Linked DNA regions of Xenopus tropicalis. The protein of the gene in region 1 binds, or shares a complex with, the protein of each later gene. Links are inferred from orthologs where the notes say so. Each region holds a gene or a part of one and is shown in the gene's direction. Other genes may lie near its edges. The genes, in order: cwc15, bcas2, cwc22, scnm1, dhx16, snrpd1 and rnf113a.

What was found.
Region 2: cwc15 (region 1) and bcas2 share a complex: the UniProt entries of both Homo sapiens proteins name them as parts of the PRP19-CDC5L splicing complex. The link is inferred for Xenopus tropicalis from reciprocal best matches to the Homo sapiens genes CWC15 and BCAS2.
Region 3: cwc15 (region 1) and cwc22 share a complex: the UniProt entries of both Homo sapiens proteins name them as parts of the minor spliceosome. The link is inferred for Xenopus tropicalis from reciprocal best matches to the Homo sapiens genes CWC15 and CWC22.
Region 4: cwc15 (region 1) and scnm1 share a complex: the UniProt entries of both Homo sapiens proteins name them as parts of the minor spliceosome. The link is inferred for Xenopus tropicalis from reciprocal best matches to the Homo sapiens genes CWC15 and SCNM1.
Region 5: cwc15 (region 1) and dhx16 share a complex: the UniProt entries of both Homo sapiens proteins name them as parts of the minor spliceosome. The link is inferred for Xenopus tropicalis from reciprocal best matches to the Homo sapiens genes CWC15 and DHX16.
Region 6: cwc15 (region 1) and snrpd1 share a complex: the UniProt entries of both Homo sapiens proteins name them as parts of the minor spliceosome. The link is inferred for Xenopus tropicalis from reciprocal best matches to the Homo sapiens genes CWC15 and SNRPD1.
Region 7: cwc15 (region 1) and rnf113a share a complex: the UniProt entries of both Homo sapiens proteins name them as parts of the minor spliceosome. The link is inferred for Xenopus tropicalis from reciprocal best matches to the Homo sapiens genes CWC15 and RNF113A.

The regions. Positions count from the first base shown.
Region 1 is NC_030678.2:164,534,993-164,539,389, reverse strand, and holds the start of cwc15 (protein CWC15 homolog), read left to right. Parts: upstream 1-1,488; 5' UTR 1,489-1,523; intron 1,524-2,990; 5' UTR 2,991-3,001; coding exon 3,002-3,132; intron 3,133-4,397. UniProt on the Homo sapiens protein: Involved in pre-mRNA splicing as component of the spliceosome. Component of the PRP19-CDC5L complex that forms an integral part of the spliceosome and is required for activating pre-mRNA splicing.
Region 2 is NC_030682.2:7,012,378-7,016,448, forward strand, and holds the end of bcas2 (pre-mRNA-splicing factor SPF27), read left to right. Parts: intron 1-1,139; coding exon 1,140-1,232; intron 1,233-1,692; coding exon 1,693-1,763; intron 1,764-1,896; coding exon 1,897-2,058; intron 2,059-2,181; coding exon 2,182-2,232; intron 2,233-2,497; coding exon 2,498-2,578; intron 2,579-3,090; coding exon 3,091-3,211; 3' UTR 3,212-3,500; downstream 3,501-4,071. UniProt on the Homo sapiens protein: Required for pre-mRNA splicing as component of the activated spliceosome. Component of the PRP19-CDC5L complex that forms an integral part of the spliceosome and is required for activating pre-mRNA splicing.
Region 3 is NC_030685.2:63,130,120-63,133,891, forward strand, and holds part of cwc22 (pre-mRNA-splicing factor CWC22 homolog), read left to right. Parts: intron 1-2,465; coding exon 2,466-2,593; intron 2,594-3,299; coding exon 3,300-3,401; intron 3,402-3,499; coding exon 3,500-3,675; intron 3,676-3,772. UniProt on the Homo sapiens protein: Required for pre-mRNA splicing as component of the spliceosome. As a component of the minor spliceosome, involved in the splicing of U12-type introns in pre-mRNAs. Promotes exon-junction complex (EJC) assembly.
Region 4 is NC_030684.2:137,908,810-137,913,278, forward strand, and holds the start of scnm1 (sodium channel modifier 1), read left to right. Parts: upstream 1-1,631; 5' UTR 1,632-1,726; coding exon 1,727-1,777; intron 1,778-2,623; coding exon 2,624-2,694; intron 2,695-2,817; coding exon 2,818-2,906; intron 2,907-3,463; coding exon 3,464-3,561; intron 3,562-4,448; coding exon 4,449-4,469. Other genes in the region: lysmd1 (lysM and putative peptidoglycan-binding domain-containing protein 1), read right to left, coding at 1,046-1,216. UniProt on the Homo sapiens protein: As a component of the minor spliceosome, involved in the splicing of U12-type introns in pre-mRNAs. Plays a role in the regulation of primary cilia length and Hedgehog signaling.
Region 5 is NC_030684.2:75,485,452-75,489,223, reverse strand, and holds part of dhx16 (putative pre-mRNA-splicing factor ATP-dependent RNA helicase DHX16), read left to right. Parts: intron 1-1,063; coding exon 1,064-1,318; intron 1,319-1,580; coding exon 1,581-1,799; intron 1,800-2,270; coding exon 2,271-2,465; intron 2,466-2,624; coding exon 2,625-2,735; intron 2,736-3,473; coding exon 3,474-3,589; intron 3,590-3,762; coding exon 3,763-3,772. UniProt on the Homo sapiens protein: Required for pre-mRNA splicing as a component of the spliceosome. Contributes to pre-mRNA splicing after spliceosome formation and prior to the first transesterification reaction.
Region 6 is NC_030682.2:65,065,490-65,069,982, reverse strand, and holds the end of snrpd1 (small nuclear ribonucleoprotein Sm D1), read left to right. Parts: intron 1-1,022; coding exon 1,023-1,214; intron 1,215-3,171; coding exon 3,172-3,248; 3' UTR 3,249-3,867; downstream 3,868-4,493. UniProt on the Homo sapiens protein: Plays a role in pre-mRNA splicing as a core component of the spliceosomal U1, U2, U4 and U5 small nuclear ribonucleoproteins (snRNPs), the building blocks of the spliceosome.
Region 7 is NC_030677.2:156,458,186-156,462,730, forward strand, and holds the start of rnf113a (RING finger protein 113A), read left to right. Parts: upstream 1-1,510; 5' UTR 1,511-1,528; coding exon 1,529-1,619; intron 1,620-2,497; coding exon 2,498-2,571; intron 2,572-2,898; coding exon 2,899-3,006; intron 3,007-3,247; coding exon 3,248-3,355; intron 3,356-3,889; coding exon 3,890-3,999; intron 4,000-4,123; coding exon 4,124-4,230; intron 4,231-4,545. Other genes in the region: noc4l (nucleolar complex protein 4 homolog), read right to left, coding at 1,266-1,412. UniProt on the Homo sapiens protein: Required for pre-mRNA splicing as component of the spliceosome. As a component of the minor spliceosome, involved in the splicing of U12-type introns in pre-mRNAs. E3 ubiquitin-protein ligase that catalyzes the transfer of ubiquitin onto target proteins.

The DNA.
Region 1 (4,397 bases):
GCTGGTGATCCGCCTGGGGAGGAACTGACCGGGAGACTTGCTGATTAACCAAACAAACTTCTTTATTCCAAACAGCATTCAGTGGTAATAAATGCAGACTCCGGTATCTCTCCCTTATATCCAAACCTGGAGTTTCTCTTGCTCCAGATAATCTCCCGTTTGGGAATATACTGTGACCTGAGCCAGCCACTGAATTTCCCTGAGCTACGGCCAGTAATGCCGGGAGGTGATAACCTCACTGATCTCCTCGGAGGGGCCTCAAACTGCCCAACTAAATACACTATCTATCTAGTATAAATAAATTTAAAGCAACTGGACTTGTTTGGTAACAAACAAGTCCAGTTGCTTTAGGGCTCTGGCACATGGGGCGATTAGTCGCCCGCGACAAATCTCCCTGTTCGTGGGTGACTAATCTCCCCGAGTTGCCATCAGTTGCCATCCCACCGGCGAACATGTAAGTCGCCGGTGGGATGGCACACGCGGCGCGATTTCGGCAAGTCGCCGAAAATGCCTCGCGAGGCAACTGCGCAGCGTGTACCATCCTTACATGCTCGCCGGTGGGATGGTAGTTCAGGGAGATTAGTTGCCCGTGACAAGGGAGATTTGTTGCGGGTGACTAATCTCCCCTTGTGCCAGAGCCCTTACATTTATTTATACTAGATATACCATGACCTGGATGAATGAAAATCTTCATAGACATACACTATCTATCCTTTCACTCCTAGAGTGACAATAAAATGTCTAACTGGCTCCTGTAGCTAACCTCTTAGAGAGGTGAAGTCCCAGGAAGAAGACCTCATGGTTTGTGAGTCCATTCCCTTTTATATTGCAGAACACCACCACCTAGTGGTCACTGCTGAACTGCAGAGGAAACTCTCTTTTAATCTGGAAAGAATAATTATAATAATATAATAATTAAAGATGAATTAAAAAGTTAAAAAAAAAATTGTAGATGTTTATGTAAAGTTGGGGGGAACACAGGTCAAAAAATTTCATAACGGTAATGATGCTTCATTGTTATTTGTATATGACAATAAACTAGAAACTATAGCACACACACAATTAGGACCACCCTTAGGTCCATATCCCACAAGGCCACCCACTGGTATGCCTGTCTAAAGGGGAACCCAGGCACAGGGGCCCAAATCTTGGGGTCCCTACATAAAAATTATTAAAAAGAATTAATGAATAACAAAAAAGGGCAACTAATTTAGTAAAGAGAAATCTCAGTTATGAAAAATGACTGCTCGGAAATGTTCTTATGTAAACCAACACAGAGAAGTCAGAAGCCCTGCACAGTGTTATATAATATTCTCCCTTTACCGCACATACACCCCCTGATTCATTACATAGCCACAACAAACATGGCCGCCGACGGCTTCCAATCAGCTGGAACGCCCTCTTGCTTACGTGACGCGTACTCCGAGCGCCGGAAGTTTCCCGGTGGAAAGAACTAGCGCGACGGGTAATTGTGACGCCAGTCGCCGTGGGATTTGGTGCTGGGGCTGAGGCGCTGTTACGGGGTGAGCGAAATCGCACCTTTGGGAAGAGGGGAATTCAGGCTGAACGGCAGCGATTATTTTAGTCATAGGGGATTGAGGCCCTCTAGGAGCAATATATCGCCCCCCACTATCCCTGTTGGCTGGGGAAGCTTACAGCTCGGCTTTATCTACTTAGCAATACTGTACCCTCCTGCCCAGTCTGTGAGTCCCCTGCTAATGTAAGGGAACTCGGCTGGTTAAGCCTATGGCCAGCAATATCAACTTGAGGGACAATTGAAAGTACAGGCATGGGATCCCTTATCTGGAAACCTGTTATCCAGAACGTTCCAAGTTACAGAAAGGCCATCTCCCATAGACTCCATTTTAATCAAATAATTCAAATTTTTAAAAATGATTCCCTTTTCTCTGTAATAATAAAACAGTACCTGTACTTGATCCCAACTAAGATATAATTACCCCTTATTGGAGCAGAACAGCCCTATTGGGTTTATTTAATGGTTAAATGATTCCCTTTTCTCTGTAATAATAAAACAGTACCTGTACTTGATCCCAACTAAGATATAATTACCCCTTATTGGGGCAGAACAGCCCTATTGGGTTTATTTAATGGTTAAATGATTCCCTTTTCTCTGTAATAATAAAACAGTACCTGTACTTGATCCCAACTAAGATATAATTACCCCTTATTGGGGGCAGAACAGCCCTATTGGGTTTATTTAATGGTTAAATGATTCCCTTTTCTCTGTAATAATAAAACAGTACCTGTACTTGATCCCAACTAAGATATAATTACCCCTTATTGGGGGCAGAACAGCCCTATTGGGTTTATTTAATGGTTAAATGATTCCCTTTTCTATGTAATAATAAAACAGTACCTGTACTTGATCCCAACTAAGATATAATTACCCCTTATTGGGGGCAGAACAGCCCTATTGGGTTTATTTAATGGTTAAATGGTTCCCTTTTCTCTGTAATAATAAAACAGTACCTGTACTTGATCCCAACTAAGATATAATTACCCCTTATTGGGGGCAGAACAGCCCTATTGGGTTTATTTAATGGTTAAATGATTCCCTTTTCTCTGTAATAATAAAACAGTACCTGTACTTGATCCCAACTAAGATATAATTACCCCTTATTGGGGGCAGAACAGTCCTGTTGGGTTTATTTCATGGTTAAATGATTCCCTTTTCTCTGTAATAATAAAACAGTACCTGTACTTGATCCCAACTAAGATATAATTACCCCTTACTGGGGCAGAATAAGCCTATTGGGTTTATTCAATATTTGAATGATTTTTACCAGACATAAGGTAGGAGATCCCTTATCTGGTCACGAGCATTCTGGATAACAGGTCCCATACCTGTAGTATCATTCTGCCTTTCCTGTGCTCTGCGCTGCTGCTTCTGACTCCTGAAGCTGTGTAGAAAAAGTCAGCTTATGAAAGTAGGAATTTTAAAACAGTTCTTGTATTTGTGTGTGAAACAGTTGTGTAAAAGATGACAACCGCGGCCAGGCCAACGTTTGAACCAGCAAGAGGCGGCAGAGGTAAAGGGGAAGCCGATCTCAGTCAGCTCTCAAAGCAGTATTCCAGCAGAGACCTCCCCTCTCACACTAAGATCAAATACAGGTATGTGAGTGGCTAAGGCATGTAAGATATTTGTTCTGTAGTCCTTAACATGGCACAGTGAATTATGTTGGTCATTAAAGGGGAAGTATATCCCCCTTTTCAAGATTATTTCACTTGTGCTTGTGTTGAACATTCTTTTTGTTATTATTTACAAACCATTATGAGACACCTCTGTATATGGGTGAAGACACACGGAGCTACTAGTAGCAGCTACTTGTCACGGCTACTAAAATAGACAGTGCTGATCATTTACTGATAATTGTCTCTAAATTGTGTGTTTTAGCAGAGGCAATTCTCAGTATTGTCTGTGGCAGGGGATTTTCTGGCGTTTAGTAGCCGTGACAAATAGCTGCTACTAAGTACCATGTGTCTTCATCCTAATACCTGTTCCTTATCACAGAGCCTAATGACTAAAGGCTGCCCCTGGGGGAAGGGAGGGGTTTGTTTATACAGTGGACTTTTCGTATGTATATATTTATTAAGCGGTACTTATGTACGCAGCGCTGTACAGTAGAATACATTAATACAAACAGGAGGTTATTAAAATAATAGATAAATACAAAGTATAACAATAAATACAGATAAATACAAGATACAGTTGCAATAAGTTAAGAGTCAAAGACACAAGAGGATGGAGGTCCCTGCCCCGTAGAGCATACAGTCTAGATGGGAGGGTAACTTACAGACACAAATAGGCAAATATAAGTGCTGTAGGTCACAGTGGGTGACATTACAATATAAGTGCCAGTTCCCAGATCAGGTGCTGGGTGAGTGCTCCAAAAGTTAGTCTTTAAGTTTAGTTTTAAGAACACTGGGGAGGATTTTCTTCGGAGGAAATCTGGGAGGGCATTCCAAATATAAGGGGCAGCAAGTTGGGAAACTGCAGTAGTAGTGGGGGGGGGGCGTAACCAAGCAGTTACTCTGCGAGGAACAGAGGAGTCGACCAGAAATGTACGGCGACACAAGGGAAGAGATGTAGTGAGGAGCAGAGGAATGGAGGGCTTTGAAGGTTAGGAGAAGGAGTTTGTAAGATATTCTTTGTTTAATAGGAAGCCATGATAAGGACTTTAGCAGGGGAAGGGCCTGAACTCTCCTGGATGAGAGGAGGAGAATTTTGGCAGCAGTGTTTAATATAGACTGTAGTGGGGAAAGATGGGAGTTAGGGAGGGCAGTTAGCAGCAGGTTACAGTAGTCAAGTAGTCGGGATAGGATGAGAGCATGCATGAGCAGCCTAGCTGTTGCAGTAGAAAAAAAGGGACAAATTT
Region 2 (4,071 bases), on another chromosome or scaffold:
TACCCGGTCTGTGCTGCCCCTGTGTGTCACATGACTCCCATTGGGGGCATTTCTACTGTAAATACCCGGTCTGTGCGGCCCCTGTGTGTCACATGACATCCATTGGGGGCATTTCTACTGTAAATAACCGGTCAGTGCTGCCCCTGTGTGTCACATGACTCCCATTGGGGGCATTTCTACTGTAAATACCCGGTCTGTGCTGCCCCTGTGTGTCACATGACTCCCATTGGGGGCATTTCTACTGTAAATAACCGGTCTGTGCTGCCCCTGTGTGTCACATGACTCCCATTGGGGGCATTTCTACTGTAAATACCCGGTCTGTGTTGCCCCTGTGTGTCACATGACTCCCATTGGGGGCATTTCTACTGTAAATACCCGGTCTGTGCTGCCCCTGTGTGTCACATGACTCCCATTGGGGGCATTTCTACTGTAAATAACCGGTCTGTGCTGCCCCTGTGTGTCACATGACTCCCATTGGGGGCATTTCTACTGTAAATACCCGGTCAGTGCTGCCCCTGTGTGTCACATGACTCCCATTGGGGGCATTTCTACTGTAAATACCCGGTCAATGCTGCCCCTGTGTGTCACATGACTCCCATTGGGGGCATTTCTACTGTAAATAACCGGTCTGTGTTGCCCCTGTGTGTCACATGACTCCCATTGGGGGCATTTCTACTGTAAATAACCGGTCAGTGCGGCCCCTGTGTGTCACATGACTCCCATTGGGGGCATTTCTACTGTAAATACCCGGTCAGTGCTGCCCCTGTGTGTCACATGACTCCCATTGGGGGCATTTCTACTGTAAATACCCGGTCTGTGCTGCCCCTGTGTGTCACATGACTCCCATTGGGGGCATTTCTACTGTAAATAACCGGTCAGTGCTGCCCCTGTGTGTCACATGACTCCCATTGGGGGCATTTCTACTGTAAATACCCGGTCAGTGCTGCCCCTGTGTGTCACATGACTCCCATTGGGGGCATTTCTACTGTAAATACCCGGTCTGTGTTGCCCCTGTGTGTCACATGACTCCCATTGGGGGCATTTCTACTGTAAATACCCGGTCTGTGCTGCCCCTGTGTGTCACATGACTCCCATTGGGGGCATTTCTACTGTAAATAACCGGTCTGTGTTGCTCTCAGGCTGCAGCTTTGGTGGAAGAGGAGACCAGAAGATATCGGCCTACAAAGAACTACCTGAGTTACTTGCCCACCCCCGACTATTCCGCATTTGAGGTAATGGCTTTCTCCCTATTCTGCAGCACCCTACACTGGGTGCCCCTCTGCTCTATTCACGGTGGTTGCACATTGGCCAACCAAATGGCTTCCCTGCTAGAGAACTCACCCTGGCAACTAAGAACCTATTGCTCTGTGAGGCTTCAATTTTATTGTTACTGTTACTTTTTATCCAGCCCCTCCCCTATACTCATTCACACCACTGTCTGGTTGCTAGGGTAAATTTGACCCTAGCAACTTGATATCTCTGCAAAATATTAATACTTCATTATTCATTCTGCTACTACTCGTCCTTATGTCTGTCAGTTCTCCAAAGATTGCTTTCATAGTCCCATAACCCCGAGGGGTTTGCATGCACAGAGCCCACCCTGGCACCTACTGGTGCTAATATCACGTGGGTGGGGGGCATGTTCCCTTCACAGAGGAGACCAAGATTCCAACTTTCATTCATTTTATTTAGACTGAAATCATGAGGAACGAGTTTGAAAGACTTTCGTCGCGCCAGCCCCTCGAACTGCTCAGCATGAAGAGGTGAGTGCCGTCTGGTTACTATGGGTTACTGGACCAAGATCTGTGCATTGCTTTACAGCCCTGTGGTTTCCATGTGGTCTCATTGTGCTGAAGGGTATCCGTGGAAATACCATACCCCTCTCTCTGATTCTAGGTATGAGTTACCGGCCCCCCTATCCGGCCAGAGGAACGACATCACCGCGTGGCAGGAATGTGTCAATAACTCCATGGCCCAATTGGAACACCAGGCCGTCCGTATAGAGAACCTGGAGCTCATGTCCCAGCACGGCTGTAACGCCTGGAAAGTCTATAACGAGTGAGTTGGGAACATGGCGTTGGGGGGGGGGGGGGGGGGGGGTGTTGATTTACAGCACAGGATATAGCATGACCCAATGATACTGCCGCCCTTCAGTCACGTGATTCTTCTGTCTCCTCCCAGGAACCTGCTGCATATGATCGACTGCGCGCAGAAAGATCTCCAGAAGTTACGGTGAGACGGCATTAAGCCCATACTAACCATATATATATATATATATATATATATATATATATATAATCCTTCCCTGGCCGTGGGGAAGAGAGCAGCCCAGAAGCAGGAAGTGCAGAGATTTAGAGCTCAGTTCCTGTGTAATTACTGGGATGAGCTTCGAGTTACCTACGTGGGGTAGTTCCTAGCCCTGGGGTATTACTAGCAGTTGCACACTTCCATTTTAACAGCTCTAACGCTTTCACTATTTGTCTTGTTACCGGAACAGGAAAAAGATTCAGGACTTGAACTGGCAGAGAAAGAACTCCCAGCTGACAGCAGGTGCCCGACTCAGAGAGATGGAGTCAACGTAAGTGAGATTTGTGCATTTTGTTCACACCTAGGGTGAACTTATCAAGGGAATACCTACTCCCCTATACTGTATTTCCATGAATGAAGTACACACAGGCTTTGAGTGTGCCTAGCGGGCTGTTCCTGCTGAACAGGGGAATCCCTATGCTGCCATAGTTTTATGGTATCTCTCTGTACAGGCTATGAGCAAACTTAGGGGGCTGTTCCTGCTGAATTGTGCTTAGTACAGGGGAATCCCTATGTGCCATAGTTTTATGGTATCTCTCTGTACAGGCTATTAGCAAACTTAGGGGGCTGTTCCTGCTGAATTGTGCTTAGTACAGGGGAATCCCTATGTGCCATAGTTTTATGGTATCTCTCTGTACAGGCTATGAGCAAACTTAGGGGGCTGTTCCTGCTGAATTGTGCTTAGTACAGTGTATGGTATTTATGGGATGCTAATATTTTAGCTTTAATAGAACTGGTAGTCATTTTCGTCTGTCTCTAACTTGCTTTCTGTGCCGGTTGCAGGTGGGTGTCTCTTGTGAGCAAAAACTACGAGATTGAGAGAGCAATTGTGCAAATGGAGAATGAAGTCTATCAGCTGAAAGAGAGGAGCGGGGAGAATAAGGAAAATATTGAAGATTATTAAGGCCCTGCCCCAAGGATTACAGGTTCCAGGGTAACAGCACCGGTCCTGCTGCAGAGACTCTGGCGCCATGTTGGGCAGCGCTGCTGGGGGTTCTGGTTGCTTTATGGCTCTTCACTCTGGAAATGTAGCGAGTAGTCTCTGCCTGGGTGCTGATAGGCGCAGGGATGGGTCTCCCTGTTTCACCCAAATGCCCCAGTGCTGCCTCGTAGGCCGGGCACATACCGGCTTTTATAAGGAAATTCTGACTTGTTTTTCACTGTAATATTAATAATAAAGTGTTTTCCAGAAATCTTCCACTTTTATCATCCTGTGCGCTCCTGGGGGTCTGTACTGAGCACCCCACACAACCGTAACCCTGGCCTGGGTGGGGGCACACCATTATATATTAGATAGCACCCCCGTCTCTGCACAAGTGCCTGATCTCACCAGAGGGAAATAGGTATGTTCTGAGCTGGGACGGATTTCCCACATGGGCAGCTTCGACAGATAACGGGTCATGTGTGTAACAGTGAGAGGAAATCAGCGTAAAAACCAATGAACTGTCTTCTATAGGCCATAGAGATACAGTGGGAAAGCCTGGCATTGCCCTTCCTCCTGGGTCTCATCTGTTTTTACAATGTTAATATCATGAAGGTGTAACAGGAGCGCCCCCTGCTGTTCTGTGCAGGCGGAGACACAAGCAGCACTGAGCCCAGAGACACTTCCAGCATCAGCAAATGAAACTTTTCCCCTATCTGTCTGGCTCTGACTTGGTGTGAATACTGCAAATAGCATGGAAACTAAAGAAGTAGGGCAGAAATGCTGTACATTATGTTTTGGGCTTCTGTACCAGCCACACAGCCCTTCAGCAGGGAAGATCT
Region 3 (3,772 bases), on another chromosome or scaffold:
CTACACCTAAGGATTAGGTGTTTGGAATGCACAAGGCAGCTAGGGTATGGTCTAGTTTTTCTTTTACATTAAAAGATTGTTCCTACAGCTGTCATGTGATGTGAACCCTATCCAGGATGAAACTATGTTTCATGAAGCTGAAGCTTAAAGTTATGGTCCTACAGCAGGTTGCACCTGCAGGCTACCCACAAAAAAACTGCTAAGCTGCGGGTTGTAGGAAGGATTTTCACATGCGGTTCATATCTATAGTATTTCTCTTATATTGTCTTGCTCATCTACAGTGGAGGAAATAATTATTTGACCCCTCACTGATTTTGTAAGTTTGTCCAATGACAAAGAAATGAAAAGTCTCAGAACAGTATCATTTCAATGGTAGGTTTATTTTAACAGTGGCAGATAGCACATCAAAAGGAAAATCGAAAAAATAACTTTAAATAAAAGATAGCAACTGATTTGCATTTCATTGAGAGAAATAAGTTTTTGAACCCCTACCAACCATTAAGAGTTCTGGCTCCCACAGAGTGGTTAGACACTTCTACTCAATTAGTCAACCTCATTAAGGACACCTGTCTTAACTAGTCACCTGTATAAAAGACACCTGTCCACAGAATCAATCAATCAAGCAGACTCCAAACTCTCCAACATGGGAAAGACCAAAGAGCTGTCCAAGGATGTCAGAGACAAAATTGTAGACCTGCACAAGGCTGGAATGGGCTACAAAACCATTAGCAAGAAGCTGGGAGAGAAGGTGACAACTGTTGGTGCGATTGTTCGAAAATGGAAGGAGCACAAAATGACCATCAATCGACCTCGCTCTGGGGCTCCACGCAAGATCTCACCTCGTGGGGTGTCAATGATTCTGAGAAAGGTGAAAAAGCATCCTAGAACTACACGGGAGGAGTTAGTTAATGACCTCAAATTAGCAGGGACCACAGTCACCAAGAAAACCATTGGAAACACATTACACCGCAATGGATTAAAATCCTGCAGGGCTCGCAAGGTCCCCCTGCTCAAGAAGGCACATGTGCAGGCCCGTCTGAAGTTTGCCAATGAACACCTGAATGATTCTGTGAGTGACTGGGAGAAGGTGCTGTGGTCTGATGAGACCAAAATAGAGCTCTTTGGCATTAACTCAACTCGCTGTGTTTGGAGGAAGAAAAATGCTGCCTATGACCCCCAAAACACCGTCCCCACCGTCAAGCATGGGGGTGGAAACATTTTGCTTTGGGGGTGTTTTTCTGCTAAGGGCACAGGACAACTTATTCGCATTAACGGGAAAATGGACGGAGCCATGTATCGTGAAATCCTGAACGACAACCTCCTTCCCTCTGCCAGGAAACTGAAAATGGGTCGTGGATGGGTGTTCCAGCACGACAATGACCCAAAACATACAGCAAAGGCAACAAAGGAGTGGCTCAAGAAGAAGCACATTAAGGTCATGGAGTGGCCTAGTCAGTCTCCGGACCTTAATCCAATAGAAAACCTATGGAGGGAGCTCAAGCTCAGAGTTGCACAGAGACAGCCTCGAAACTTTAGGGATTTAGAGATGATCTGCAAAGAGGAGTGGACCAACATTCCTCCTAAAATGTGCGCAAACTTGGTCATCAATTACAAGAAACGTTTGACCTCTGTGCTTGCAAACAAGGGTTTTTCCACTAAGTATTAAGTCTTTTTTTGTTAGAGGGTTCAAAAACTTATTTCACTCAATGAAATGCAAATCAGTTGCTATCTTTTATTTAAAGTTATTTTTTCGATTTTCCTTTTGATGTGCTATCTGCCACTGTTAAAATAAACCTACCATTGAAATGATACTGTTCTGAGACTTTTCATTTCTTTGTCATTGGACAAACTTACAAAATCAGTGAGGGGTCAAATAATTATTTCCTCCACTGTATATATTACTCCTTTAAGCATAGTTGCATAGGCTTGAAAAAAGACCAGTCCCTCAAGTTCAACCCTTCCAAGTAAACCCAGCACACACAAACCTATGCTTACCAATCTATACACTCGCATACATAAACTATATATACAAACATTAATACTAACTGTAGATTTTAGAATTTCAATAGCCTTGGATCCAGGCCCCTCTTATAGGCATTAACAGAATCTGCCATGATGTAACTTCCAGTTTGCAGCAACCACACTTCCTGTTTAATGGTGGTCAGTCGGTTGCAGTTTGGGCTGTGGATAAGGCATTTTCAGGTGGGGTTGGGCAGTGGGTCCAGGCAGTAGTTTTGGCAAACATTAGTAGAGCTGTTGCACTATTCTGGGGACAATCAACCAATCAGGCCCTTGACATTTGCAAAATTACTTAGGATGACATGTTTTTTCTTCATGCAAATATTTGTGGGAGGAGACATTAATACATTCTTTGTATTTTTAGACCATGCCCCTTAGCAGTGTACTAATGTGTTAGTCTTTTCTAATGTCTAATTAAGCTATTTTTCTATGCTTGTGCTTTACAGGTGTTGGAGTGTATAAATCTAAGTGAAGAAACAACCACCTCGTCCAGCAGAATATTTGTCAAAATATTTTTCCAGGAGCTGTGTGAATATATGGGGCTACCAAAGCTAAATGCTAGACTTAAGGACATGTAAGTGTTAGATAATGCAACTATTGCAAGTATATTGGATCTTTATTACACTAAGTGCCTTCTCTTGAAAGGGCTGCTATAGCTTTATATTTTTCTAACTCAATTGTGCTTATTACATGGGAATACATAGGTAAGTATAGATATGTTATCTTTCATTAGAGATTCAAGCATTATCCCTGCAATGGAAAGTGCCATATACGACCCTGTTGGCTGGTCATTCTCTCACTGGTGGCATGCCACATCCCCTGGCTCACAAGCCCATGCTCCATTCTGGCTCCTTGTAATGGCTTTATAAACACAATGGGAACCGTACAGAAGGAGAACAGTAATTTGTAGCTATCTCCCATTGAGACTGGGCTAAAACTGCAAGCTGAGTCAGTATTACCTTTACAGAAGCTTGGAATAATGCAAATGAAAATGTTCTTTCATCTTAAAATATTTCTTGTGGGGAAATGTGTATGGAAAATAACAAAATCAGGGTGATGATTTGACTCAGTTGCCTTGCAAGTAACTGCCTTCCAACTTCCACAGAGCTGTGCAAAACTAGAACTAATGCCAGCCATTAGACATTAAACCTGAAATCCAAGTATTTCTGGCTCAGTGTTGAGATAATTGCCATTGAAGCAGTTTATTTAAAGGAACTTGGATCATGTATTTACACATTGTGTATTCTAAGTATAAGTCTCTTTTTTTTCCCCTTTAACAGAACACTTCAGCCTTTCTTTCAAGGATTGCTACCTATGGACAACCCAAAGAACACCCGCTTTGCTATCAACTTTTTTACCTCCATTGGACTTGGCGGGTTAACGTAAGAGATTGATTTTCAGGCATAAACTAACATGTTTCTTTAGTTCATCCAACATTGTTAGACTAATGCCTTTGTATATTCTTTATTCAATTGCATAGGGATGAACTGCGTGAACACCTGAAGAATGCTCCTAAAATGATCATGACCCAGAAACAGAATGTTGAGTCGTCGGATTCTTCAGACTCCTCATCAGGGTCGGAGTCTTCTTCTGACTCGGACAGTAGCTCCAGTTCTTCTAGTGACAGCGAATCATCAAGCTCCAGCAGTGACTCAGGTAGGTTCTGTGATATCTGTATATACTAGCATGTACAGTATGTCTTTGTACACTCGGCTGTCCTTGCACAGATGCTGAGGCAAGGTTTATTGGCATA
Region 4 (4,469 bases), on another chromosome or scaffold:
GTACCCAGTACCCTGCCAGCCTTACCCACTGCTAATCCCTCTGCCCATGTACCCTGCCAACCTTACCCACTACTAATCCCTCTGCCCATGTACCCAGTACCCTGCCAGCCTTACCCACTGCTAATCCCTCTGCCCATGTACCCAGTACCCTGCCAGCCTTACCCACTGCTAATCCCTCTGCCCATGTACCCAGTACCCTGCCAGCCTTGCCCACTGCTAATGACTCTACCCATGTACCCGGCAGAGCTTCCCTCTTTGAAGACAGATTGTAGGGAAGAGAGGTGGGAGTCTGGGAGGCTGGTTAGTAGGAGATTGCAGTAATCTAAGCGAGAAAGGATAAGGGCATGGATTAGTGTTTTAGCTGTTACTTGTGAAAGAAAGGGGCGTATCTTGGCAATATTGCAGAGGAAAAATGGCAGATAACCCCAAGGCAGCGTGCAGAATTAACAGGGTTAACGGTCATGCCATCAATAGTCATGGTGAAAGGAGGAGAAGTGATATTTAAGACCAAAAGAAGAAATAAGGTCTCCTAAAGAGAGAGTGTACAGGGAGAACAGCAAAGGGCCAAGCAAAGGGCCCCACACTGAGCTGAACCCCCACACTGAGCTGAGCCCCCACACTAAGCAGAACCGGGGTAGGGGATTGGTTAGTAAGAGCGACAGAGAAGGAGCGGTTAGAGAGATAGGAAGAGAACCAGGATGCAGCCTGATCCCGGATACCCAGAGAATGGAGACTTTGTATAAGGACTGAATGTGCCCTGACAGTGTCGTGCACCAAATTCACCATATTTTCATTTCCCTTCATGTTTATCAGGCCCACCGGCTGTATCTGAACCCAATGCCTTCCTGATAACATCCTGGGGGGTTGGTTCTAGGGTGGGGCAGGTAAGGCATGTCCCCTGGGGGGGGGAGTAGAGAACTGTACAAAGGGCATATGAGACTAACAGCTGTTAGATATTACCAGTTATACACAAGGGGTCTCCAGCTGTTGCTAAACTGCAACTCCCAGCACCCTACACCCTATAATAGGAAGGTACCGTACTCACCGTGACGCCGTATCTGAGTGCCAAGCCCTGCAGTGTGTCCCCGGGCTGGACCTGGTGCTCCAGTTTGCGGATCCGGGCCGGTGAATAGGGCGACTGGACTAGGCTGCCATAGGAACGGGTCCTGGTTCCATGGAGAAGCCCAGAGTCTCTGTGCCCAGAGTTGGATGCCATGGCTTGTGAGCTCTAAAGGGCAAGTTAACTATACATTGTCTGACTGGGCAGAGGTGGAGGCAGAAGTGGAGGCAGAGATGGAGTCCCTGCAGCCCTCAGTCACATGCTGGGCTACTAATTCAATCAGACTGAAAGAAAAAGGGAGAATTCATTAGTATCACATGACAGCACTGACAGGGGTTTGCCCAAGGGGGTTGGGCTGGGCTAAAAGCTGCCCCAATACCCCCAGCACAGACCCACAGCCCTTCCAGCTGCCCAGCACAGGCAAGTACCCAATAATACACAGCTCACTGCTGGGCAGGGGTGACAGGAGCAAGGCATGCCGGGAGCAGTAGTGCAGCACAGGCTCTGCCCCAGGATTCGCGGCTCTCACGGAACTACAAGTCCCATAATGCCCGGACTCCGCCTCCTCCTCTCCGGAAATAAACTACATTTCCCGTAAGGCCGCAGAAAGGAGTACGGTGGCCGCGCAGGGTTACAGCTCTCAAAGGGGGCGCTACAGGCTGGGCTATGTCGTTTAAACGGGATGGGGATGATCTGAGCCAGCTGAACGTTCTAAAGGTACGGGGTGATACCCATACAGGGGAGGGGAGGGTGTCTGGGGGGGGAAGGGTAGGGTATGGTGTCTAGAGGTGGGGGGAAGGGTGGGGTAGGGAAAGGTAGGGTGCCTGGGGGTGGGGGGAAGGGTAGGGTGTCTGTGGGTGGGTGGGGTAGGGTGCCTGTGGGTGGGGGTAAGGAAGAGTAGGGTGCCTGGGGGTGGGGGTAAGGAAGAGTAGGGTGCCTGGGGGTGGGGGTAGGGAAGGGTAGGGCGCGTGGGGGTAGGGAAGGGTAGGGTGCCTGTGGGTGGGGGTAAGGAAGAGTAGGGTGCCTGGGGGTGGGGGTAAGGAAGGGTAGGGTGCCTGGGGGTGGGGGTAGGGAAGGGTAGGGCGCGTGGGGGTAGGGAAGGGTAGGGCGCGTGGGGGTAGGGAAGGGTAGGGCGCGTGGGGGTAAGGAAGAGTAGGGTGCCTGTGGGTGGGGGTAAGGAAGAGTAGGGTGCCTGTGGGTGGGGGTAAGGAAGAGTAGGGTGCCTGGGGGTGGGGGTAGGGAAGGGTAGGGTGCCTGGGGGTGGGGGTAGGGAAGGGTAGGGTGCCTGGGGGTGGGGGTAGGGAAGGGTAGGGCGCGTGGGGGTAGGGAAGGGTAGGGTGCGTGTGGGTGGGGGTAAGGAAGAGTAGGGTGCCTGTGGGTGGGGGTAAGGAAGAGTAGGGTGCCTGTGGGTGGGGGTAAGGAAGAGTAGGGTGCCTGTGGGTGGGGAAGGGTAAGGTGTCTGTGGTTTTGGTTTGGGGTGTGGGTAGGGTGCCTGTGGCAGAGTAGGGTGCAGTTGTAAGGGGGAAGGGTTAATTTAATATCCCATTTCCTGTCTCCCTACAGAAGAGGCGAGTGGCGGATCTGCTGGCCAGTTACATCCCGGAGGATGAGGCTTTGCTTCTTAAAAATGGCAGGTAAGGGTCTCTCCACTGATTGGTTCCCTCGGTGTGGGCCCCTGGGAGGGCTTGCTTCTATATACCCTTATATTCCGGGGCCCCTGCCTATCCCTCTGTGTAACTGTGTTGTGTATATAACAGCTACGCTTGCACCGTGTGCCATCACCGGCCCGTCTTCAGTACCATCGATATGTTGTCTGTGCACAGAAGCGGGAAGAAGCACTTAGCCGGTAAGTTACTGACTAGAAAAGAGATCCATTTCCTGTCTTATGACTTCATTTCCTCTCCAGATTTCTGACATAACGTCCTGTCTGGCATTTGCGGATCCGAAGACTTGCCTAGGGATGTTCCCCTGTTGATTTATTAATTATTTATTTTTGTATTTATAACTTCCTGTCTGACTTTGTGACTTAACTTCCTGTTATGACTTCATTTCCTGTATGCCATTTTAATGTGGAGCCTGTAGCTACTGGTCTCTGCCCCAATACCAGGTTTTATTCTGTCTCCTCCCCCATTATCTTTCTATACAGGCCCTCTTCTGTTCATATACCAGTTTCTCATTCATTCTGCTGCCTGGTTGCTAAGGTAGTTTGAACCCTAGCAACCACATAGCTGCGGAAAACTGCAAATAATAAAAAATGAAGACCAATTGCAGATTGTCTTAGAATATTCTCTATATCATACTAAAAGTTAACTCAAAGGTGAACATCCCCTTTAATGACTGGTCACATGTCTATAATACATATTTGTGCAATGGGCCGCTGACTCCCTCTCAACTCTCCTACAGGTCAGCAGCGGTATTACGGCAAGAAGCTGGAGCATAACAATGAGATCCAGAAGAGGCGCCATTTTGATTTTGTACAGGCAGAAGATGCAGGAGAACAGGTGGGCAGATTTCTCTTTCTCCAGGCTATTGGCTATTAGGGGGCTGTTCCTGCTGAATTGTGCTTAGTACAGGGGAATCCCTATGTGCCATAGTTTTATGGTATCTCTCTGTACAGGCTATGAGCAAACTTAGGGGGTTGTTCCTGCTGAATTGCGCTTAGTACAGGGGAATCCCTATGTGCCATAGTTTTATGGTATCTCTCTGTACAGGCTATGAGCAAACTTAGGGGGCTGTTCCTGCTGAATTGTGCTTAGTACAGGGGAATCCCTATGTGCCATAGTTTTATGGTATCTCTCTGTACAGGCTATGAGCAAACTTAGGGGGCTGTTCCTGCTGAATTGTGCTTAGTACAGGGGAATCCCTATGTGCCATAGTTTTATGGTATCTCTCTGTACAGGCTATGAGCAAACTTAATGGGCTGTTCCTGCTGAATTGTGCTTAGTACAGGGGAATCCCTATGTGCCATAGTTTTATGGTATCTCTCTGTACAGGCTATGAGCAAACTTAGGGGGCTGTTCCTGCTGAATTGTGCTTAGTACAGGGGAATCCCTATGCTGCCATAGTTTTATGGTATCTCTCTGTACAGGCTATGAGCAAACTTAGGGGGCTGTTCCTGCTGAATTGTGCTTAGTACAGGAGAATCCCTATGTGCCATAGTTTTATGGTATCTCTCTGTACAGGCTATGAGCAAACTTAGGGGGCTGTTCCTGCTGAATTGTGCTTAGTACAGGGGAATCCCTATGTGCCATAGTTTTATGGTATCTCTCTGTACAGGCTATGAGCAAACTTAGGGGGCTGTTCCTGCTGAATTGTGCTTAGTACAGGGGAATCCCTATGCTGCCATAGTTTTGAGTAACTTTTTTTTATTTGCTCTCATATCTGCCAGCGTCCACCAGGTCCCGCCCCT
Region 5 (3,772 bases), on another chromosome or scaffold:
CTGGCAGTAAAAGGGTTAATGCAATAGCTACTGTTATTACAGGGTTCTTTAAAGGAATACTGTCATGGGAAAACATGTTTTTTTTCAAAATGCATCGGTTAATAGAGCTTATCCAGCAGAATCCTGCACTGAAATTAATTTTTTTATATTTAATTTTGAAATTTCACATCGGTCTAGCCATATTCTTCATTTCCCAGGGTGCCAGTCATGTGACTTGTGCTCTGATAAACTTTAGTCACACTTTACTGCTGAGCTGCAAGTTGGAGTGATACCACCCCTTTCCTTCAACCCCCCCCCCTCAAGCAACCGATCAGCAGAACCATGGGAAGGTAGATATGATAACAACACTCAATAATAAAAAATCCAAGTCCGGGTTATGACTTCTCCAGATCCATTAAGTAGGAGAAACAGTAGCGTGCCTGAAAGCAGTTCTAATGTGTAGCGCTTGCTCTTTCTGAAAGCTCAGACTTGGGTGCAGTGCACTGAGATGGCTGCCTACACATCAATATTACATTTTTTAAGAATAACATTTTAAATGGTAGAGTGAATTATTTGCCATGTAAACAGTGTAATTTAATAATAAAAATACACCATAAAAATCATGACAGTATCCCTTTAAGGAATTCTGTTACCATATGAAGGTAAAAGGCCACATAAAGAGTGCTGATAGATTGAGAGAGATAATATATGTGCATATGTTGTAGTTTGGGACACATTTGTTTTTCACATCTTTGTGTATTGCTGTATAGGGTTTTTTTGTCATGCGCATAAATGTAAAGGGGGTGTATATGTGTAGCATTAGCAATAGCTGGTGTAAATAAAAAAAAAAACTAAAAATCCAGTTAATGTTATTTAGACTATCATGAATTCTAGTGTGTATTTAAGTATAAATAATGAGTATGATGTGCTACCTACTCATTTTAGTGAGTAAAGAACATTTAGTTACACAGATATGTAGATATGTGTACATTATAATAAGATTAGCTTGCTTATTCCTTAACAGTTTAATGTATGACAGTGTGGAATATAATTTTCATCAATTGTGCATCCTGTAACTTGTTAGATTCCTGAGCTAAGGAAGAAGTCCCGTCGGGAATATCTAAATAAAAGAGAAAAAGAGAAGCTGGAGGATCTAGAGGCAGAGATCGCAGATGAGGAGTATCTTTTTGTGGAACCTGAGTTGACTTCAGTAGAGCAGAAGGAGCTTGAATATAAGCGAAGGGTGCGTGACCTTGCAAAGGAATACAAGAAAGCTGGGGACAAAGAGAGGATGGAAAAGCATGACCGCTATTTTATGCCAGAAGAAAACAGGAGTAAGGTATGAATAAACTCCGCATTGTTTCTTAATAGGTGGTTTTACCAATTTTGTAGGAGGTTTCCTTTTCATTTCGTTTTACGTAACTAGGGCAACTCTGTTCATTTTAAAACACTCCTCACTTGGAATGAATAGTAATTGGGTATATTAATACAATTCTCCTAAGAAGTATATAAGCATTTAGTAATTTTTGCCTAAAAGTATAATGCATACATTTGGGAATTATGTTTTATGGGTTGTGAATTTTACACTTATCTTATCACAGAAAATTCCTGATCGCTATGAGGAACCTATGTCTGAGGAAAGATTTGCCCCTCGTGAAGAGCAAAGGCGGTGGGAGGAGGAGCATATTGGGGCAGCCTCTCTGAGATTTGGAGCAAAGGATGCACATGATCATGGGAAGAAGGAGTATGATTTTGTCATGGAAGAAAATGAGGTCATACAGTTTGTCAGCTCGGCACAGATGAAGGGAACAATAGATAAGGTACGTAAAGCATTAAATACTTACTTAGGGCTTACTTAGTACAGCAGAACAGCAAATTGGTGGCTCAGTAATGTTGAAAATAATTGTACAAACTATAAATAAAACAAATAAATATTTTATAAATAATAATTGGACTGGGTTAAAAGTCTCAGTTTAATTTGTCGATTTAATTGATATACTGCTAAATAAATGGCTGGCTTGCTGATTTAAAATGGAAAAAGCAGAGGTACCTAAGTGCTCTATTAGGCAGCAGTCACATGCTTCTATTCTTTTTGGTATGGTTTAATTTTTGGAGAAATTTATCATTGTTTTGTGAACCAAATAAACGTTTTGTGTGTGATACTGCTCACCATTTGTATTACTTTTTGTAGAGGTACTAGTGGCTGTCCCATGGAGCATTTTTGTTTTTATGAGCACATTGGATGACATTGTAGGTGTCTCTGCTTATCGTAGCCTCTGTTTTCCGTATAGGAAGAGGAGAATTCTGAAGTCTTGTCAGAATCAGAACGAAAGAAACTGTCTATACAAGAGGTTCGGCGAAGCCTCCCTGTCTTCCCATATCGTTCTGATCTTCTTCAAGCAATCTCTGATCATCAGATTCTTATAATTGAAGGAGAGACTGGATCTGGCAAAACTACCCAAATACCACAGTACCTGCACGAACATGTAAGTTGTATCACCAGTTATTCTACATGGAAAAGCAAGGGATCCTAACCCATAATATTTACACTGTTGACACAGTAACTGACACTTTCATTGTATAAAAACATATTTTACTGCCCGTATTATTAAAAAAAACAAACTCTCTGCCTCTTTATTTTATAGGGTTATACTAAAAATGGCCTGAAGATTGGCTGCACTCAGCCTCGAAGAGTGGCTGCCATGAGTGTATCAGCACGAGTTTCTCAAGAGATGGGTGTTAAATTAGGCAACGAGGTAATTTTTTTTTTTTTATTTCCACACATTTTCTTCATTTTTGTATATTTTTCATATCTCTGTTTCATATGGTAACTACTTTGCCAAGTAAGCTTTCCTAAATCGTCACTGTGTTTGCATCCAACCAATTGTGAAAATCAAGGTGTGACATATTTTCATGGTCAATAGAGCACCTTTGTGAGACATCCTCAACCACACCTTAAAGGAACAATAACACTAAAAAAAGAAAGCGCTTTAAAGTAATAAAAATATAATGCACTGTTGCCCTGCACTGGTACAACTGGTGTGTTTGCTACAGTAACACTACTATAATTTATATAATAAGCTGCTGTGTAGCCACGGGGCAGCCATTCAAGCTGGAAAAAAGGAGAACAGGCACAGGTTACATAGCAGATAACAGAAAAGTTCTGTAGAATACAATAGTGTTTTATCTGTTATCTGCTATGTGCCTGTGCCTTTTCTCCTTTGAATGGCTGCCCCCATGGCTACATAGCAGCTTATTTATATAAATTATAGTAGACTTTCTGAAGTAAACACACAACTTTTACCAGTGCAGGGCAGCAGCACATTATATGTTAGTTACTTTTATACACTTTCATTTTCTGGTGTTACTGTTCCTTTAAATCATTTATGTTCCTTTATTGATATTTGAATTTTTAACACCATTCTAAAAAACAAAGACTACAGAGAGGAGTTTCTGTATGTAGCAAAAGCTTTACTCGCACTTTTTTGCTTTAGGTGGGATATAGTATTCGGTTTGAAGACTGCACATCTGAGCGCACAGTGCTGAAGTATATGACAGATGGGATGTTACTGCGGGAATTTCTCACTGAGCCTGATCTGGCATCTTACAGGTATCCATTATGCAATCTCTGGATTTGTATGTATTTAGGCAGGGGACTTCTGTTACATATGAATACATCATGCCTCATACAGAATCTTTAGAAAAATTAATTCATTTGTACAGCGACCAGCCTGTATTCTGTATTACTCTCTCCATTTCCTTATCATTTTTTTTTTCCACAAGTGTAATAATA
Region 6 (4,493 bases), on another chromosome or scaffold:
GAGACTCCCGCTCACTTATTATGTGCATGCATGTAATGTAGGAGCTGCGGATGCGACTTGCCCACCTACATCACACACATATGCATAAGCAGCGATTTGTGGCACTCACTTGTTATGCACATGTGAGTGCCACAACATGGCTGCCTGAACCAGGACCTTCCTCCCAGTGCTGGCAGCCTAGCACTGTAGGGGGCTATAAAAAAAAAAAAAAAAAAACAATTATTATATAAAGGCTCTGTTAGCCCACGCTAATAATTTTGTCTCAAAATATCAGTCATAAAACAAATTTAGATAAATGGTTTTACTACCCCCTTTTGTTTGCCCCTAAGTCACACACCTACCAATCCGATTTTGCTAGTACTTGGTATCATAAAATTAATCAAAAGGACAAACCTGTACATTTTCAGAGCCCCTGAGCTTTTAAAATTTGCCATCCATTTACCCCAAAATTACAATCCTTCCATCTTACCTTCAGTAATATGGAGTGGCCCAATCCGGTTAATCAAATAGGAGGAGTGTGGTTTTGGGTTAAATTGATTGAATCTCTACATGTATGACCCTAGATTAATATTGTTTTATTATAGTGTCCTCCCGAGTAGTTTAATTAGCTTGTGCCACACAATGGTATCATAGAATTATAGCAAAGGACAAAGCACCTTTGCTATTGTTGCTGAGCATTAGTCTGCCATCCATTTACCCCAACATCATATGCTTGACCCTCTGACCAATAAGATTGTGCAGTTCCATAGTATCTGAGAAGAAACTAAGCATTCATTTTTAAACCTTGAACATAACCCCATACAAAGTGCTGGCAAATACTTTAACAACAAAATGGGCAGAATTGACCCATATGCCAATCCCTTTAGTAAGGTAAAAGTAAATAATGCTCATTATTTAATCCCTGAATTTTAAAGATATTTTTTTTTTTTTAAGACTTTGTTTTATTCTGTCATATGAAGTTGTGTTGTAAACAATGATGACGCCTTGATTTTCATTTTTTTTTACTTTTTTGTTTCTTTTAGGAGTAGATGTGAGCATGAATACGCATTTGAAAGCCGTTAAAATGACAGTGAAGAATAGAGAGCCTGTTCAATTGGAAACATTAAGTATTCGAGGAAATAATATTCGTTACTTCATTCTACCAGACAGTTTGCCTCTTGACACGTTACTTGTTGATGTGGAGCCAAAAGTTAAGTCAAAGAAGAGGGAGGCTGGTAAGTATAGTTTTCATATTTTTTGTTCTATTGTGTATATAAAAAAAAAAAAAGTTGTTATTGGAACACCAAAACCGTTACTGGTGCCAAAACATAACATATTAATTTTGGTTAAAAGGACACACATCTATACAACGGGCAGTTAGGCAGGTTTAATTCGGAGCAAAAGGTTGAACTCTGTGGATATGAGTCACTTTTTCAACCTGAATTATTGTATTACTTTTGTTTAAATAAAACCTGTTAGGTTGCCAGTTTGTCCTGATCCTGTTTCAAAGATGCCCAGAATAGTTTTTTCATCTGAAAACACCAATACACTACTTACAGTGTACAATTCCCACCACCAAGTCAGTAATAAACAAATTAAATAAACGTGGACCCAAAACAGAACCCTGCAGCACCCTGTTAAGAACCCAAGTAGAGAATGCATTAAAAACTACACTTTCTAACGCAGTTGTGTAGCCAGTTTCCTATCCAAACAGACGGTTCCCAAAAGCACCAACTGTCAATCTGGGTCACTTTTTATAAATTAAAGGAGAAGGAAAGGTTAAGTCACTTACCTTTTACCCCGGGCTGGTGCCCCTGTTAGGAGAAAACCGCACCAAGCTGGGGTACCTGCAGCGAGCGCTTCCTTCTGTCGGCAAAATCCCTGGGCTGGCTTTTTTGTTTAAGTTTGGCTTTCCACTCTACTGCGCAAGCGCCAGAAGCAGGAAGGGGAGACGCTCGCAGGTACCCCAGGCTGGTGCGGTCTTCTCCTAACAGGGGCACCAGCCCAGGCTAAAAGGTAAGCAATTTAAAGTCACTTGGGGGTGCCTTACATTTTGGCATCCCCAGGTGACTCAGCCTTTCCTTCTCCTTTAAGCCATGTTGAGCTGCGTGTGATGACTGCAAATTGTATGTAATATTTATTCAGTAAGGTGATCATGTTAGATGGGATTACATAATAGAAACCTCTATCCTGCCAGAGGAACCCAGAATGGTGAACTATGTCAAAGGGCAGCTCAAATCTGTAAATATTAGCTGTACAGCCTGCAGTATGTTGGTATTTATTAATCGGGTTGCATGGGCTTTTTAGGTAAAACTGTAGAAACAATAGTAGGATTGCCTGTGTGGAGATGGCCTCTAAACATTAAAACAAACTTGTAATTCCGTTGATTAACAATGGCTAGAATGTGATTGTTAGTTGTGAAATGCAGTGCTAAGGGTACTGGCACACAGAAATTTGTTGCCTGTAGTAAATCTGCGTTACCACAGCAACAAATCCCCTGAAATTGCCTTCTCATTCATTTACTTTTGCATCATTGCAAGTAAAACACTCACAAGTGGTTTCCACATGTCGGCTGTTGGGGCATTTGTGTGTCAGGCTCCACTCATTCCCCTTCCTCTGTTCATTGCATAGGGGTGGGAGACAGGAACGAAGAGATTAGGCTGTCTTTAAAAGCCAGTCCAAAGTATCTTAAGGTGTTAAAGGCAGAGCATTTTATCAACTATTTTTACATTTTAAATAATGTTTTGAAGTAGTTAGCATTGCTTCATCCCATAATATATCATCCACTGCTTTTAATGCAGTAAGCATAAATATAGAAGTATTAATTTCCAACAGTAAGAGCTAGGAAGGTGTTTGATGTACTCCCTGAAGTGGTTAGATTGGTATATTCATTAGATACAATGGCATACAAAACTGCATTAGGCAGAAGTAGTGTTTCAGTGTGCAGGTAGTGTGTGTACATTATGGGATTTGCTATGAAGGTATATTTCCTTTATATCTACTTCATTATTTTATATGGTTGGAACTATTTTGCAAAACAATATAATGCCATAATATACATCCGAAATTCGAAGATCTGTTGGAAACTGTTACTTGATATTTCTGTTTTAGCAAATGTATGTATGTGTTTTGTTTTTTTTTTTTGTTTGTTTTTACTTTACTGATCCTCACCTGATTTCTGTTTCTAAACAGTTGCTGGCAGAGGAAGAGGGAGAGGCCGTGGTAGAGGCCGAGGGCGAGGAAGAGGTAGAGGAGGCCCAAGAAGATAATATATGTGAAAACTTCGCCATTAGAGGATGTTTTTGTACAGTTTTTTTTTTTCATACCTGAATGCACACAAATACTACTTCATGATATTACTTGTACACTGTACTAGTTAACTACTTATTGAGGCATATTTACTAATGCTGGGTGCTTTAGCTTGGTACAGTAACCATATAGAATACATTTTGATCTACTGGATGTAGAAAATACATTTTAATTGGTTACTGTTGGTTACTGCACTGGTGCTTAGTGTTAGTAAATGATTCCTGTTATGTACACTGCATCCCTGCCACACATTTGTATATGACCAGCATTAGTGTTATAGGAATCCTTGTGATGTTATATTCTTCACTGTTCCTTTACATTAGTAACAGTCCATTCAGTGCATTGGACAGGTGCCAGTAACAACTTTCTTCTTGCATTCCCTTCAATGCTTTGGTCAAATACAAATATTTTTCAGGTTGCTATTTAAATTCACAAATCGGTTAAAATCTGGGTTCTGCAACTAGGTAATTGATATTGAATATTGGCATTCAGTTCTTTTTGTAACAAAGTTGGTTGTGTCTTTGTTTTTAATGCATATAAGTTGCATTTGAAAGCCTAATAAAAAAAAAAGGTTTTTCATAGATGTTTGATTTTTTTTTTATCCCAAGATGTTAAAACATGTTGGAGCATGTTTTTTTTTGTTCTTTTTAATTGTATGTTAAAGAATACTTAGTGCTTGTTGGGCAGTTCTGTGTGTATTTAAGCTGGCAGACCCAAGCTTGAAGCCGTCCGTGCTGCTCTTATCCAAAAATATGTGGTAGAAAATGTTAATAACAACCTGTACTACATGGCCAGGTAGTTTCCATTAGGACAATTACACACAGTGTAATTTGTCTGGCTGCTGTCAGCAGCAACTAAAGCCTTATTACCAATCCTGATACTATTGTGCCAAGTTAAAGTCAGGAATGATGTAAAGCCACTGCCCCTACCACAAGAAGCTTTTTATTTTCTGTCCCATAGTTCAGGCAGTGCTCAGGTTTTCATCTTAGGTTACATGCCGAACATGGATTTAAGTGTTGTTTCCCCTTCTTGGTTGCCAGGAATGCAACTTCCTATCTAACAGATGCTTTTGATCAGAAATACGTGTATGTGGCCCCACATGTTTAAATTCCTTTCTCTCCTGGTAAGCCCTGCACTTATACCTGTTCTTGTTCTGTCATTAGCAGCTTTTTGATGTTCATTACTTTCAGCTAACTCTGCTTCTG
Region 7 (4,545 bases), on another chromosome or scaffold:
TATAAGATAATCAAAAACAAGTGCAAAGTGAATAAAGCATGGTTTTAACAATACAAACACATAGTTGTGCAAAACAGAACAACAAGGCTCAAGCTCCCTTTAGAAGACCCCTGTGTCCAGGAAGAGGCAGCAGCGGCACAGTGGACACAGAGATCATATGTGGGGGGGGGGGGGGGGGGGGGGGTTCAAATTGGAGAAGGAAAATTCTAGCTGGTGGAACAGTAATCCTGTAGAGGAGCATTGTCACATGAAGACGCTGGCAGAGTTCCGAGAAGGGAACCACTATCAAGTAAGAGATTTAACGACACATTAGCTTGCATGCAAGTATCTAGAGAATTTTTAAAGACCTCTAAGTTGCTCTCAGGAGTACATAGACTGTGATTACTATGGGGAGGAATATACAAGCTGTTACAGACCAAACAATAATCACAAGGGAACAGTTCCTGTGTGACTGATTCTATACCGTAATATAGGAGAACTGAAACTCGCAAACACATTTGTTGTTCTGTTTATGGAGGGGGTGAAAATGTGTGGTAATCGGAAAAGTGAGAGTCAGAAGGTTGCGGGGGATAAAGGGGAAAGTTAGGAAAAGTGTGAGATCAAAACAGAAGGTCCTGAATGAAAGGGCAGCGGAGGTAATAGGGAAAGCAAATGAGAAAAGACAAGAGGTTAGAAAGAATCTTTCATGGAATTGTCGTTGCTACTAGAATTTTCCTCTCCCATTACCCACAACTATGTATTCATGCCATTCTGTTTTCCCTGCACCACCCAGTGCTGATTCTGACTGCCAACAATTCGGCCTGATGTACCAGCAGTTCCACTCTTTTCAGACCTGAGCATTCAATCTTAGCTCTGCCCACCGCTGTCACGCCTTGCCCACCTGGCCCTGTCTGTAGGCTGCAGTCTTTTCTAAATAAATATTCAGACAGGATCTTTCTTGCTGATTAATAATAACATCAATTATACGTTGAGTAGGCTGGTAACCTTAGCAATCTGATATGTTACCCTCGCTAAAAGCTCTCTCTCTCTGCAAAAATGTAATTTTTCACATTTCCTTTTTTCCCTAATGGCCATCTCCCATCTGTCTTTTTCTATCACTGGTTGCCGAGCCCTGTTATAAGAACTTTAAAATACTTCCAGTCACACTGTTTAGACGTGCATACTGTCACACAAAATGTTGTGTTTCTGTTTCGTGCAAAAGATGTTCTTCTTTGTCAGGGCTGCTGTTATACTGTTTGCTAGCACACTGCAAAGCGGGCACTCACCTCCAGATGTTCCAGAATATCAAACACCGCGTTGGCATTGGTTCTACTTCCCAGTACTGCTGCGAGTTTGCTATCCAAATCGTGGCGCTCGGCATCACTTTGCTTGGCAAAGCTCGAACTCACACGTTTCGCTTTGCGCGCTGCCATCTTGCTACTGGAGCAACGCGACTTCCCCCCGGTAATGCGCCTGCGTGCGCTTTCTAAACAGGAAGTGGCCTCAGCCAATGCGCGCAATCTGGAGCTAGTCTGGCGTCACAGGAATAATGGCGGACTCTAACGCACCAGTTTGCAGTTTCGTGTTTAAAAAAAGTGCCCGAAAGTTCGCGGGACGGAAACGCAAAGAATCGGACAATGGTGAGACAAGGAGAAAGTGGGAGTGCAAATAAATGTTTATTATAATATAGTATTATAGGCATTACACGCTTACCGTGTATAAAATTCAGCAAAGTGTTGGGATGGAGTAAATGAGTTAAATGCAGAAGAGAGCGCAGATACAACTAATTGCGCAAGTGTTGTTGCTGTTAGCAACCAATAAGGTTTTTGCTTTTATTTTCAAACGTGTATATTGGCCAACTATTCGACTTTGTTCCTTACTCAAAACCACTATCTTAAAGGAGATGCAGGTGAGGGTGGCTGTATTGTTTGCTGGATATAATTACCATTAGAAATCAGTAGCATGTACCAGGGAATTAAGGTCCAAATGACAAAACAAAAATCAAACCCATCAAAGTATTTGCAAAACATTAACAACAACAAATATAATTATACATACAGCCTCATTTACTGTTCATTGGTACAGGTATGGGACCTGTTATCCAGAATGCTCAGGGCCTGGGGTTTTCCTGATAAGGGGTCTTTCTGTAATTTGGATCTCCATAACTTTAGTTTGTTAAAAATCATTTAAATATTGAATAGGATTGTTTTGTCTCCAATAAGGATTAATTATATCTTAGTTGGGAATCAAGTACAAGATACTGTTTTATTATTACAGAGAAAAAGGAAATCATTTCTAAAAATGTGAATTATTTGATTAAAATGGAGACTATAGGAGATCCGTAATTTGGAACTTTCTGGATACAGGTTTCCGGATAAGGGATCCCATACCTTTATGTCACTGGGCTCACATGCATTTGGTGTCTTAAATTTATCGAATTTCAGAATAGTACTTAGATGCATCTGTTGTATAAGTGTGTTGTACTATTCTGATCAGTCCTTTACTGATTTGTTTGCAGAGAGCAGCGAGGAAGAGAAAGGTCCAGTGATAAGGAGGATAAAGAAGGATGTGGTTAATCCCATGATTCAGAAGGTTAGAGTCACAGGTATTCACTATGTCACCCTGAGGCCCCAGGAGCATTAAGGAGCTTTATAAAATTTTCTGCCAGTTAATCTTTCAGAGTGGGCAGCAACACTTCTCCCAGATATTTCCTGTAGACCTCTCTGTTTAGAGATATAGATACCACATCATCTTCTCCTGGCAGCTAATGGCTGAATGGAAGCACAACACATGCCATAACCCTCTCCAGCCTGTCACCCTGTGTGCAGGACAGACGTTAACATGCCACAGAAGGGATGTGTGTAGTGTTTGTCCTCTTGAGCTTTCTGGTAGTTGTATTTACCTCTGTGTGTGATTTAGAGCAGGCAGCAACCAAAGGACTGTGAAGATTACAAAGCAAGCAGCAGTGAAGATGAGGACAAAACAGCGAAGTCTATCACTGTGTCTTATAAATCTACCCGATCTGCGGTAAGAGACTCTTTTGGAATTGGCTTATTCTTAGCACAGGCTTTATGTCATAAATGTTAAAATCTTTGAAACCCATCATCAGTTAGTTCTTTGTGATATTTTATTCAGTTTGTGAATCAGCCTATGCTGTCTGTCTTGTTTCAATATAAATGATGCATTGAAAAAAAATCTGTATTTATAGAATGACATGTCTAAGACACCCCCCATTTCTTACTATGTATGCATTCTTTGTTTCTTGCAGAAACCAGTAGGGCCAGATGACATGGGAGCCACAGCTACATATGAACTAGACACTGAAAAAGACAAGGATGCTCAGGCAATTTTTGAGAGGAGCCAGAAAGTACAGGAAGTGAGTATTTAGTATGTGATGCAGTGGATTATATATTCACCTTAAACTATGAGAGAACCACTAAAGCAGAGAACCCCAACCTTTCTTACTCATGAGCCACAATCAAATGTAAAAAGACTTGGAGAGCAACACAAGTGCCATAAAAGTTTGTGGAGGTGCCAAATAAGATAGGTAGCCTCTATGCACACCATCAGCTTACGAGGCTTTATTTGTTAGCAAATCTTGTTTTTATTCAACCTAAACTTGCCACCAAGTCAAGAATTCAAAAATGAGCACCTGCTTTGGGGGCAGTGAGAGCAACATCCAAGGGGTTGGTGAGCAACATGTTGCCCCCGAGCCAATGGTTGGGGATCACTAAGGAATGCAATAAGTGTTAGTAAAGCATGCAGTGTTCTGCATGACTTACATGCAGTTTCTTTAAAAATTCTGTGCTTTTTTTCTCTTCACTTTACTTTCTTTAATATTGTAATACTCTCCTTTTCATAGATGACACTCTGTTTAGTTCCCACTATTTATTTTGCTTTAATCTGACAGGAGTTGAAGGGGAAGGAAGATGACAAGATCTATCGAGGAATCCACAACTACCAGAAGTTTGTGAAACCCAAAGATACCTCTATGGGCAATGCATCCTCTGGCATGGTTAGGTACGTGTACCCCTCCCACTTTCCATTCTGTTTTAATTTAGAAACATTTCACTTTTCAATCAACTGGGTGATTAAATCCTAATAGTTTAGTCTGCATTGATAACTTTAACTTTTATCATTTTAGGAAAGGACCAATACGTGCCCCAGAGCACCTCAGAGCCACAGTACGTTGGGATTACCAGCCAGATATTTGCAAAGATTACAAGGAGACTGGGTTCTGTGGGTTTGGAGGTCAGTTGCTGGATTGTGTTGTACCCCTTTCCATTAAATGTCTGTTGTTCCTTTGGCCCTTTTTGCCCATATTTTATTCTCTCTTCCCTTACTATTATTTATTATGTAACACTGCAAGTTTTACTCACAGCTAGTTTCACTTATACTGGGCCTAATTTAAGTACACAAGTATGAGCAATTACCCATAGCAGCAGTCAGTTTTTTACTTTTATTTTCTAACTTGTGGACTGATTAATCTTATAGCTGGCTTCTGTTAGCAAAGGAACAGTTTAGCTTCCACTCATATTTGCAACCTTCTGTTTCTGCACCCAAAGT